2 linked regions of the Arabidopsis thaliana genome follow. The protein of the gene in region 1 purifies or fractionates together with the protein of each later gene. This does not show direct contact. Each region holds a gene or a part of one and is shown in the gene's direction. Other genes may lie near its edges.

Evidence for each region.
Region 2: the proteins of AT3G54360 (region 1) and CAT3 purify together in Arabidopsis thaliana (affinity purification with western blotting; one study listed by BioGRID). This does not show direct contact.

The regions. Positions count from the first base shown.
Region 1 is NC_003074.8:20,127,602-20,133,883, reverse strand, and holds AT3G54360 (zinc ion binding protein), read left to right. Parts: upstream 1-1,970; 5' UTR 1,971-2,122; intron 2,123-2,282; 5' UTR 2,283-2,302; coding exon 2,303-2,691; intron 2,692-2,778; coding exon 2,779-3,013; intron 3,014-3,132; coding exon 3,133-3,278; intron 3,279-3,912; coding exon 3,913-4,000; intron 4,001-4,081; coding exon 4,082-4,228; intron 4,229-5,000; coding exon 5,001-5,150; intron 5,151-5,251; coding exon 5,252-5,314; 3' UTR 5,315-5,330; exon of another isoform or gene 5,331-5,591; 3' UTR 5,592-5,757; downstream 5,758-6,282. Other genes in the region: AT3G54363 (uncharacterized protein), read left to right, coding at 1,349-1,645. UniProt on the Arabidopsis thaliana protein: Has holdase chaperone activity that may fold catalase to a functional structure. Not required for the peroxisome import of catalases. Required for the activity of catalases and acts mainly at the post-transcriptional level.
Region 2 is NC_003070.9:7,141,233-7,147,057, forward strand, and holds CAT3 (catalase 3), read left to right. Parts: upstream 1-1,900; 5' UTR 1,901-1,909; coding exon of another isoform or gene 1,910-1,924; 5' UTR 1,925-2,681; coding exon 2,682-2,873; exon of another isoform or gene 2,874-2,974; coding exon 2,975-3,071; exon of another isoform or gene 3,072-3,226; coding exon 3,227-3,504; intron 3,505-3,596; coding exon 3,597-4,373; coding exon of another isoform or gene 4,374-4,458; coding exon 4,459-4,548; coding exon of another isoform or gene 4,549-4,575; exon of another isoform or gene 4,576-4,647; coding exon 4,648-4,809; intron 4,810-4,901; coding exon 4,902-4,961; 3' UTR 4,962-5,308; downstream 5,309-5,825. Other genes in the region: CAT1 (catalase 1), read left to right, coding at 5,580-5,594. UniProt on the Arabidopsis thaliana protein: Occurs in almost all aerobically respiring organisms and serves to protect cells from the toxic effects of hydrogen peroxide.

The DNA.
Region 1 (6,282 bases):
CATATATATATGTAAACTACAGAACTTGAATGGGTTCAACTGGTTATGACATTTTGGTGACTAAACCATTTCTTAGAAAATATCCGACCGGATACGGTTAAAGGATTGATTGTTTACTTTTTTTTTTTTTTCACAAAGCTAATTTTATTATCAGCACAAACCATATCAGATACATAAACCCGAGTGAATTACGGGACGACAAAGCCGGCAGGATATAATCCTCCGGTACACAAGCCGGCGAGGAATGAAACCCCGACACTAAGCCCCGACATGGGGAAACGACGTAGAAAGACAAAATAAAACATGATTGATGATTTTACACATAAACATAGTTCTCTCTTTAACCAAATAAACCAAGATCGAAAATTAACTGGCATCGGAGATTTCGTCGGAGATTGAGACACCCACTTTAAGAAAATTTGATCTTCTTGCCTTACTTGATAATTAAAAATCTTCAGAAGAAAAACCTTGGGATACTTTGGATGGCAGACGGTGGAAACTCAGCTAAACATGCAGAGACCGTCGAGAACGCCGTGGCCGGAGATATCGACTATGCGACTTGAACCGGTAGAAAGAACCCAAAATCTGGGCGGATTTCGCCCTAGATCCGTATTGTTGAAGCTGTGTGAGGAAACCCAAAATTAGGTCACCCAACCCGAATCACCACAACACCGACAGTGAGTGGCATAGAGCGATCGTGATTAGGCCAGGGAGTATTTAGTCAGAGAAGAAAACCACGCTAATTTGCAAAATCACCAATCGAAACTATAGATCTAATAAGAGAAATTGAGGAGGAAACGAAATCGAAACCAACCCAGAAATCTCCTTAACCACAACTTAAAGAGACATAACTGAACATAAACCAAAAAGCCAAACCGACGTCATGACCGTGGTGGCTCACAACGCCGGCGGAATTGAAGCGGTGCTTTTGTTTTTAAGAGAGAAGGAAGAGGATATATTTTTTTTTTTTTTTTTTTTTTTTTTGAATATTAAAAATTGTTTACTTATGTTAGCTGATTAATATTAGTAGTATCAAAAACCGTCTGTTACAATTTTCCGATAAGGCCGTCCAATTGGTTCAATTGGCTTCAGCCCGACATCCACCGGCTTAGTATGCGGCGATGGTCGGCTTTCGTCCAGTAAATCCGGCTCCCATTAGCGGTTTTGGCTGGCTTGGTATTTTCATCTGCCGTGAATCGCTGCCGTGAATCGGTTTTATGCCGATTTCTTTTAGTCCTCTTTAGTTTATCTTTTAAAAATCTCTCTGATCTATGTTTGGTGGTGCCAACCTAACAATTTCTCGTTCAACGGTGGTCTCCAACTAGCTCCTTGAGTTTTGTTTTGTTTTATGTTTCCGGTGGTTTCCAGTGAGGTTATGCGGATATCTAATCCGACCAGATCGGGTGGATTTGCTGCTTTTTCTCTTGGATGTTCTCAAACTGGTTCTTCAGATCTTTGGTTACAACAAATCTTCATCGGTAATTATGTTCAATGTAATGAAAGAAGACTTGTTTCCAGCATATTAAGATTGCCTGTAGCTGTTTCAACATTCTCCGGTGACAAGCAACAACAAAAAACGATGCTTAAACTTTTTCCGGCGTCGATTGTGTTTACAATAGTCGGAGTAATTAACGGCGAAGGATGACGGAAAGTTTCCAAGCTTTTCTTGCAACACGTTTCATCTACGTATCTTTGTGTTTGACACGTGTATTGAGCAAAATTTTATCTTTAAGTGATGTAGCCATTTGGGCCATTAATGGGTTGTAACCATTGTGATGTGGATTTTAATAAAACTAAACCTTCAGTGAAAAAAAAAAAAAAGCTGATTAATATTAAAAATCCAACCAGTTTATAATCCAGAACAACGGTTTTCTTAAATTGACTAGTGACCCAAATTCTTAAATAGGCTACAAAAACCGCAGGCCCATTTAGTAATATCTATTTTTCGTTTGACTGAGAGAAAACAAAACACCATCCAATTCCAACGCACAAAAAAAAAAAAAAAAAAACTTATCGGAAACAGAAAAAAGAAGAGAGAGAGCTATCAATCGATCATTGATTGATTGCAGAGAAGCAGCGAAAGAGACATTTCCAAATCTAATCTCAATCCAATCCAATTCAGGTTTTTTCCATCTCTCTCTGTTGAGCTACTTCTGAATTAGCTTCTTCTATGTTCGATTTCCAGCTGTTGATAGTTTAGCTAGAGAATCAATTTCGAATTTCATCTTGAGGAAGCAATTTTAGTAATTTAGGTTTTGAATTTTCCTTTTGAGGTGTTGTAGGGTTGTTGCTACCTTCACGAATGACGACGACTTCTGTTTGCCCGTTCTCGAAAGCTGCTCGTCCTGACGATGGGTCGACTCGAAAACAAGGCGAAATTACCGCTTCTGGTTGTCCTTTTTCTAAAGCTGCTCGTCCCGACGATGCCTCTGCTCGAAAGCAAGGGGAAACGACGGCTTCTGGTTGCCCTTTTTCTAAATCTGCTCGTCCTGACGAAAATGGGAGTAAAGGATGTCCTGAACAAGAAGGAAACTTGAATAAGGACTCTACTGATTCTGCAACGGTACCTGCCAAGTGCCCTTTTGGCTATGACTCTCAAACATTCAAGCTTGGGCCTTTTAGCTGTATGTTATGTCAAGCACTTCTATATGAGAGCAGTAGATGTGTGCCTTGCACACATGTGTTCTGCAAGTAAGCCATAGTTGCTCGGCCGCTTATTTCTTTTTTGGCTCATGATTGGGTCTACTTTTCTTATACTTTGTGGTTTCTTGAATGCAGAGTATGCTTAACACGGTTTAAGGACTGCCCTCTATGCGGTGCTGACATTGAAAGTATTGAAGTTGATGAAAACCTTCAGAAGATGGTTGATCAATTTATTGAAGGCCATGCTAGAATTAAGAGATCTGTCGTCAATGGAACAGAAAAAGAAGAGGTCGAAAATGATAACAAAAAAGTGATTTACGCTGACGTTTCCATGGAAAGAGGTTCTTTCTTGGTGCAACAAGCTATGAGGGTGAGTTCTGTCTCTAAATTTTGTTGACCTAACCGATGGGATTATTCTCTTTTGCACCACTTACATTTGTTATGATGTCCCGCTGTGAGATCTTGTTCTAATTCAACTTGTATGCGCAGGCATTTAGTGCCCAAAATTATGAAAGTGCTAAATCAAGGTTGGCAATGTGTACCGAGGACATTCGGGATCAACTAGGGAGGGAGGGCAATACACCAGAGTTGTGTTCACAGCTTGGTGCAGTCCTTGGCATGCTTGGTGACTGTAGGTATGATATTGTCTTCTTTTTTATCCCAAGTTGTTTATTTCTAAGATGTATCCATTCTCGAGTTTCTGTGAACAATTAAGATTATGAAAACAACGGTGCTTTCGAATGTGGTCACCAATGTGGTCTTTTATGATCCCGCTTGAGCCACTTTGTTGTTCAAATTGATTTTTTTTAATTTGGAGTTTCTCAAGTATGTGGCCCTTCCTTGGCAGTTTCCTCAATTGATAGTTTCTCAAGTCGACTGGTTGTTGCTTTCATCTTGCTTAGAGTGCGCATGGCACTTTGGGAAATACTAAAATAATTTCTTTCTCGTTTGAACTAGATTCTGGTTTTCTAGATGGACCCTGTCTACATCAATTGACTGGAAATATATTCATATATTCAGATTTTTCTGTATCCTCTTATCATTTGCATACATCTTTCTCTGTGGTTCAATCACCTCGTTCAGAATAAATGGAAAGGAGAAGCAACAGTACATGCTTGGTTCGAAAAACCTACTTTATACATAATCATTTTCTCCTCCTGAACTGTGTTATTTTGGCCAAAATGTTTGATCTTCTGTTTGGTGTGTTGAATTTTTTCTTTTTCCGGGACTTAAGTTTGATGGTTAAATTATTTTTTGTTGTTGTTGCAGCCGAGCGATGGGAGACTCAAGCTCTGCAGTCAAGCATTTTGAAGAGAGTGTTGAATTCCTTATGAAACTGCCGTTGAATGATTTGGAGGTTATAGCACATTGGTTCTTGTTAAATTTTGATGTTGAAAACTTTTTACCTTTTTGCTTACAATTTTAACTTAACTTGCAGATTACACATACACTTTCTGTCTCACTCAATAAAATAGGAGATCTAAAATATTATGACGAAGATCTACAAGCTGCAAGGTCGTATTATGATAGAGCTTTAAATGTCAGACGTGATGCAATGAAGCACCACCCAAATGCTCCTTCACAAGTAAGTGTGCCCTCATACAGTTTTCTGTTTTTGCTCTTCTTTGTTTTGTCCCAATGTTTGGTTAGCTGAACTGGCTACTCTTAGTCGCCATATACATTTCAAGGTCTCGCAGAAAAATATCTGTTGTTAGCTAAGTTATTGACTTATTGTAGCATTCGTGAAGGCTCTTTTGTAGATCGTAATCTCTCACTCTCTAGGCAGAAAGCGTTTATTTATGTGATTGTTACATCTTGGTGTTCATTTGGGTCCAGGCAAAATGAATTCAAATGCATTAAAAGATATAGAGATTAACTTAAGGTGCTAGTGGATCAAAGGATCTGAAATACGATGTAAAGTGAAAATAGTATACTTGTTCTCAATGTGTTCAAGCGGGTTTCTTGGTTCACTCTTTTCATTTTACTTATTTGTTACTTTACCATGAATGTTCAGAGAAATTCTCTAAATAGTTTCCTAGATTTTATTCAAGTCAATTGCTATTTTGTTGCCTGGGTTGAACTGAGGTTTAGGTAACTGACGTGTTGTCGTTGCAGTATACATACTTGGATGAGGTGTCATTTAATTCTCTGCGATAAAGTTACTCTCTTTTGGATACATATAATTAGATTTACGTGCATTGTAATTGGGTTATTCTGTTGGTTGGAAATCTTCTCTTTGTTTTCTTATTTTATACTTGATTTCTTGCCTAGAGAAATTGGAACTCAAATATAGTAAGCAAAGGTCTGTCCGGAAGTAGAAATTGATTTCTTTTGTTATTTCTACATTTTTTATGTAGATTCTGGATGTGGCTGTTTCCTTAGCCAAAGTTGCGGATATAGACAGGACTCTACAAAATGAAGTTGCAGCGACAGATGGGTTCAAGGAAGGCATGAGACTGCTGGAATCTTTGAAACTGGACTCTGAAGATTCTGCTCTCGAGCAACGGGTAAGATTCTTGCACGACTCCCTTTTTATTTGTATCTTATCCAAAGCTGCTGAATGTCAGTAAAACTTTATCTGACAAATGTAATTTTAACATGCATGCAGCGGCTCTCTGTACTGGAGTTCCTTAAGAAGCAAGTAGAAACCGATGCTGAAACTGCACTCTAAACCGATGCAGGCTTAAGTACGTATATAGAAATTATACCTAAGTTCTCGTCTGTGGCATTTTGCTGAATAAAGAAAGCAAAAATGTTGTATTTGCGCTCAAGGGACAAAGAAACAGAGTTGTCTGTATGTTGTGAATTGTGATGGTTTTCAACTTTCAATGCACTAATCTTGCAATGTTAAATTGTTAAGCATGATTGTACTCTATGCACTTGTGAAATTTAAAAATTAAGATATCTTAAGCGGCTACAGCTGTGAACTGCTTTCTATTTCTTTTCAGTGCAAAATGAGAAAGAACCCAACAGAGATTGAGAGATGATGTGAAAGGAAAATGCAAGTATTTGCAAACTCAATCAGCTACAAAGAGTATAAATTGCGACAACAAAAATTTGTCTTTGTTGTTTTGTTGAATGAAGTTTTTCTTGTAACTACTCTTACAAAAATAAAAACATAAACATAGTCAATCCCTAAAGCCGATGATACTATGCAAACGACAAAGATATACTAACTCCAACGCACGAATCAACAAAATTAGGTCACTTTTACGAAAATAAATCTACATAATCAACAAAATTAGGTCAACTTCGTTCTATTTGTAAAGCTTTTTTCAGTATTTTTTTCTTTAATATGTTCACGTCTTTTAACTGTTCATATAATTACGTAACTAAATCTTTAACTTCGTATGTAAAACTATGTTTTTACGTATTAGATATAGAGAAATTGTTAAGAATGTTTTTCCAAAAATATGTTTTTTTAGTACTATCCTCCCATGTAATCATTTTTATTGATATTATCTTTTAATTATTAATGACTATTTTGCTTCTATTTGAAAATACTTAAATCAACAAAATGAAAAAATGATTTTTTCCGCCAAAAAATGTACTTCACATCAACTGCTATGAAACAATGTACTGATTTTATCAATTCACAAAAATTCTTGCCTCTAATCAATCGTGATTCAAGCAATCATG
Region 2 (5,825 bases), on another chromosome or scaffold:
ACTATGATATTTTGTGTCAAAAAAAAACGGGGGCTATGATATTTTTTACATAGCTACAATTTCTTTTTCTTTTTTTGGGGTGAATCTAGATATCAGGCTTGGGTTCATTATTACTTCAGGTTTAGGATTAATATTGGATAGCATATATATCCTCTAATTTGTAATTAACTCAACATTTGATAACACGAAGATATATTCTGTGATTTGAAATTATCTATCATCAAAAATGGAGCCAATAACTTTGAAACAACACGTTTTACCAGTGATAGTAACACCACATTTGGTTATGTCATATGTGCTCCACGTGATGTGGTCCATGTGGATACAAAATAACACACACACAAAAAACTGCATTTGAGTTATTTTAGTCATTGCACTTAATATATATGCGGCATACTGGAGAGGATTAAAAGTCCTAATAACTCTAAATGTCTAAATTATAAACAAGTAAATTTATAACTACGAGAGTATCTCCCTACTCCACTTTTATCTCTTATAGCTTATTGGATTGTTGTTTTCGTAACAGAGCTACTACAATGTTTATGGAGGGGGGCAACTGCGCAATATGTCCTTTAAAGAAATATATAAAAGAATGCGAAATGAATTCTGTTAAACGGAGATAGATGAAGATTGTCTTCTAATGATTGCCACTTTCTGAGAATAGTATGTTACTGTTGATTGTTGTACCTAGCTCTAGTTGTAAATAATAATATCAAACTAAGTAACAAGAGCAACTTGTTGACACTAAAGGGACCCCAAGTTACCCTCAATCAAAAATTGTGGATCAGTTCATCATCGAAGTAACGTGTTAATTATCGTCATATGCTCCACAACATCGACTCCCCACCATACCCACTCAATAATGTCAATTCAGCTCTCTCTTTTTGTATTTTTATAAAGAATGTATTTAAATTTTCAACCCATAATTTATAGATTCATGATCATCTATTAATAATTCATTAAATACTTTTCTGCATATTGATTTATTTAAAAGCCGTACGCAAGCTCAAATCGGATAAGACTAAAATAATATCACCCAGTTAAGTTAACTAACTTATTTTATTTTGAATAGTAGTATTAATTACTTTTGTTCAACTACTCCAATACTGTTTATATCCTTTCGACGGTATTAGTTATTTTCATGTTTCACGCATTTTTGTAATTGCAAATACAGACACCTTTGTTGTAACACATGTTGATTAATTTTCCGAAACTATATACTTTTGAAGACAAAAATTTAAAACAAAGAAACCTCAGATCTACAGTTCCACCTCGTGTCTGACACGAGTTTCTATGCGATAAGATCGAACATGTATATCAGCAGACTTTACTATAGATGAACTCATATTAGTAATAAGATCCAAATACGGAAATAAACAACTTGGAAAGTGAATGGAAGTTTTAAGAGAAAAATCATTTCTAGAATTATTTTTTAGATCATTTCTTTTTTTGGAGCATCCATTAGAGTTTTGTTTTTAGACTTTATGATTTATTTTTCTTTTGTTATCAGCACAATAATTGATTTTCAAAAGATATTGTATCTTTTTTTTATCTCTTGAGAAGCACAGCACAACAACGAGCAATGCTGACTTGTCGGGGTCAGCGATTATTATTAGTCACCGAACGAATTTTTCTTGGGTTGGAGCCAAAACCTAGCAAAAAAATATCTAAGTGGGGGCACTACATTATTGTTTTAACACCAAGGAAAAGTAAACAACAATGGCCCATTTTTACTGTATCGAGAAATTGATCTCGAAAGGACAAATGTACCCTTCCACTTCGGGAATCCATTATTGTGCATAACACACGCTGTTTCACTATATATACTTTCACATAGGATCTCAACACTCTCACTAAACCAAAATCCTCAAAAGCCTATTTGGGGGATCATCAACCTTCTATCATCACCATGGATCCTTACAAGGTATCTTCGATCATATTCTTCTTACTTTTTCTTTGTTTTTGTGTGGTGTATGTGTATCTTAATTAGAATTAGGTTCAACTATATATGCTCGTTTTCTAAACTATTTTTTAATTGGATTGATGTTCTTAAATCTTAAGGGTCAAAATACTTTTTATGCTCAAAAACTTACTTAAATTCTGTGATCGCTTGAACCTAAGTTGATGATGTTGATTTCTGTTTTGGCTGGCTATCTTTAATTAAAACGTTTAACCACTGCGTGAGAAAGACACGCCACATGTGGTTTTTGTTGTTTTTTTCCTTAGATTAGAAGTTATTTTGTTGTTGTTTTTTTTTTTATTATTATTACACACATGTGTTCTAAAAATCGGACGTTCAAATGATATAATCGATTGTTTAGACGTCCGACCGTATATTATTTTAGTGATATCAGCCAAATCAGATTAAGTAATCATCAACAAAATGATTGATCAGATCTACTAAACACCTGAGTAATCAAATCTACACGTTTGATTAATCAAATTAAATAACCGATCAGTTAGATCTATACATATGATAAATCTTTTTTTACAACATTCGGTTAATCAAACCATTGTCGGTCGATCTATCAATACAAGTGTATTTTTTTTTCACATACAAAAAAATTATCTCACCGACGAAAAAAAAATAAAAAATTATTATGTAGATCCATCGAACAAAAGGCTTGAATATACGGAAGTCACTTAAAAGTGTAATAATCGAATAAATATTAGTGGATAAAATGAAATTTATCTACAACCCTACTCTCCGACATGTTACTGTTTGCGTCATCAAATCTAAAGCCTTTTTGGCAAATAATGGTCGGAAGACTACTCGTGTCGGGATGGACCACCCGGATCCGATCAGGAAACGGGTTTTGATATGTTTCGGGTTACGACAAAAAATTAGGGCTTTTTATCAAATCAATCAGTTGGTAGTAAAATTTTGTGGATTGTTCTTGTCGATTCCGTTTGATTGTTGACCAAATTTCTTCCTGGATTTTGTTGATAATCGATCGTATAATGGTGATTGCAGTATCGTCCTTCAAGCGCGTACAACGCCCCATTCTACACCACAAACGGTGGTGCTCCAGTCTCCAACAACATCTCTTCCCTCACCATCGGAGAAAGAGGTATCGTAACCCTGAATTTCAAGAGTCTATCAATAAGAATCGGAACTTGTTGGATTTATGAAAGAGATAAAACTGAGATATAGAGTCTAAGCTGAGATCTTGTTCGTGAAGCGTGATGTGATTATTTTTAACATGTGTTACTTCGTAATGGGCAGGTCCGGTTCTTCTTGAGGATTATCATTTGATCGAGAAGGTTGCTAATTTCACCAGAGAGAGGATCCCTGAGAGAGTGGTTCATGCTAGAGGAATCAGTGCTAAGGGTTTCTTTGAAGTCACCCATGACATTTCAAACCTCACTTGTGCTGATTTTCTCAGAGCCCCTGGTGTTCAAACTCCGGTTATTGTCCGTTTCTCCACCGTTGTCCACGAACGTGCCAGTCCTGAAACCATGAGGGATATTCGTGGTTTTGCTGTCAAGTTTTACACCAGAGAGGTATAAGAAAAGATTCAAAGTTTCCATTTTTAATCGTCTTTTAGCTTCTTTAGAATCAGGACTGATTTTTGTCTTGTTACTGTTATGATCAGGGAAACTTTGATCTTGTTGGGAACAACACTCCGGTGTTCTTCATCCGTGATGGGATTCAGTTCCCGGATGTTGTCCACGCGTTGAAACCTAACCCGAAAACAAACATCCAAGAGTACTGGAGGATTCTGGACTACATGTCCCACTTGCCTGAGAGTTTGCTCACATGGTGCTGGATGTTTGATGATGTTGGTATTCCACAAGATTACAGGCACATGGAGGGTTTCGGTGTCCACACCTACACTCTTATTGCCAAATCTGGAAAAGTTCTCTTTGTGAAGTTCCACTGGAAACCAACTTGTGGGATCAAGAATCTGACTGATGAAGAGGCCAAGGTTGTTGGAGGAGCCAATCACAGCCACGCCACTAAGGATCTCCACGATGCCATTGCATCTGGCAACTACCCCGAGTGGAAACTTTTCATCCAGACCATGGATCCTGCAGATGAGGATAAGTTTGACTTTGACCCACTTGATGTGACCAAGATCTGGCCTGAGGATATTTTGCCTCTGCAACCGGTTGGTCGCTTGGTTCTGAACAGGACCATTGACAATTTCTTCAATGAAACTGAGCAGCTTGCGTTCAACCCGGGTCTTGTGGTTCCTGGAATCTACTACTCAGACGACAAGCTGCTCCAGTGTAGGATCTTTGCTTATGGTGACACTCAGAGACATCGCCTTGGACCGAATTATTTGCAGCTTCCAGTCAATGCTCCCAAATGTGCTCACCACAACAATCACCATGAAGGTTTTATGAACTTCATGCACAGAGATGAGGAGGTACGTCTTAGTACACCACTTGAGCTACCATTGTTAGTCTTTTTACTTGGAATCAAAATTCTCATTTGGTTTGTACTTTTTACAGATCAATTACTACCCCTCAAAGTTTGATCCTGTCCGCTGCGCTGAGAAAGTTCCCACCCCTACAAACTCCTACACTGGAATTCGAACAAAGGTCCGATTCCTGCCATGCCTTCTCTAAATCTTCAAATCCTAAACTCAAGTTTATTAGAATATTGGTGCTAAGAAAACCTTTTAATTGCTAATGTTGCAGTGCGTCATCAAGAAAGAGAACAACTTCAAACAGGCTGGAGACAGGTACAGATCATGGGCACCAGACAGGCAAGACAGGTTTGTTAAGAGATGGGTGGAGATTCTATCGGAGCCACGTCTCACCCACGAGATCCGCGGCATCTGGATCTCTTACTGGTCTCAGGTCAGAACAAAAAAACACTCGGTCAAATTTCTACGTCCTTTTTACCAAGTTTCAGCAAACTAAAACATTATTTATCTCTCTGTATCTCTCAGGCTGATCGATCCTTGGGACAGAAACTTGCAAGCCGTCTGAACGTGAGGCCAAGCATCTAGAGGCCAATCTCCATATAAGCTCAGTCTATGTGAGGTACAATCAATCTCATCGATCTATCATCGCTTGGTCGTTAAATCCGTCAAAAAGATAATCACATGTGTTGTTGTTTCTTGTCTATATAATAATAATGCTTGTAATCCCAAAAACTCATGTTTCCTTCCTTTCTACTCTCACTGTCTTTGTAATCTCTTTTTACAATAAATCAATGTTTCTTGAAGCAGTAAACAATTTCTAAGATTTATGGTGGTCGTTATACATATTATTAATTCAGGAAAAAAAAGAGAAGATACCGTAATTGAACATGTATTATTTTAAGGAGAATCCTGAAATGGATCAACAATTGTCTAATTATGGTATAGTATCTGGCGAAATCAAAGACGATATCATCCACACGTAATTAGTTTGACTATTAATACGAGGATTATCATTTGGATAAGGATTAACAAAGACAAAACACATACGTGTTTTGGTGTTGAGCTAAAATAAGATATTTTGGCTCTCGCTATAAAAAAAAAATCGACAACAGTGCAGACACACGCCGATTTGCGAGATACACACAGTCTCACCTAAAAATCGCAAAAGAAGAAAAATTCGGATCAAAATTGTCTTCAAGCATCATGGATCCATACAGGGTACATCGATTGATTCTCTTTTTTTGTAATCTGTGATTTTACCTTACTTGATTTCGTATCGATTTGGTGTGATTTCGTGTTGAATCCAAAGTGTATGAATGATCTCTCTCTCTCGGTTAAAATGATGCAAAATTGGGGTGATTGTTCGACTTGTTGAGGTTTTTTTGTGTGAATCGATTTCTTTATTATATAGTGGAGATTGGGTTTCGATTTGCATGCGTTGAAGATTCC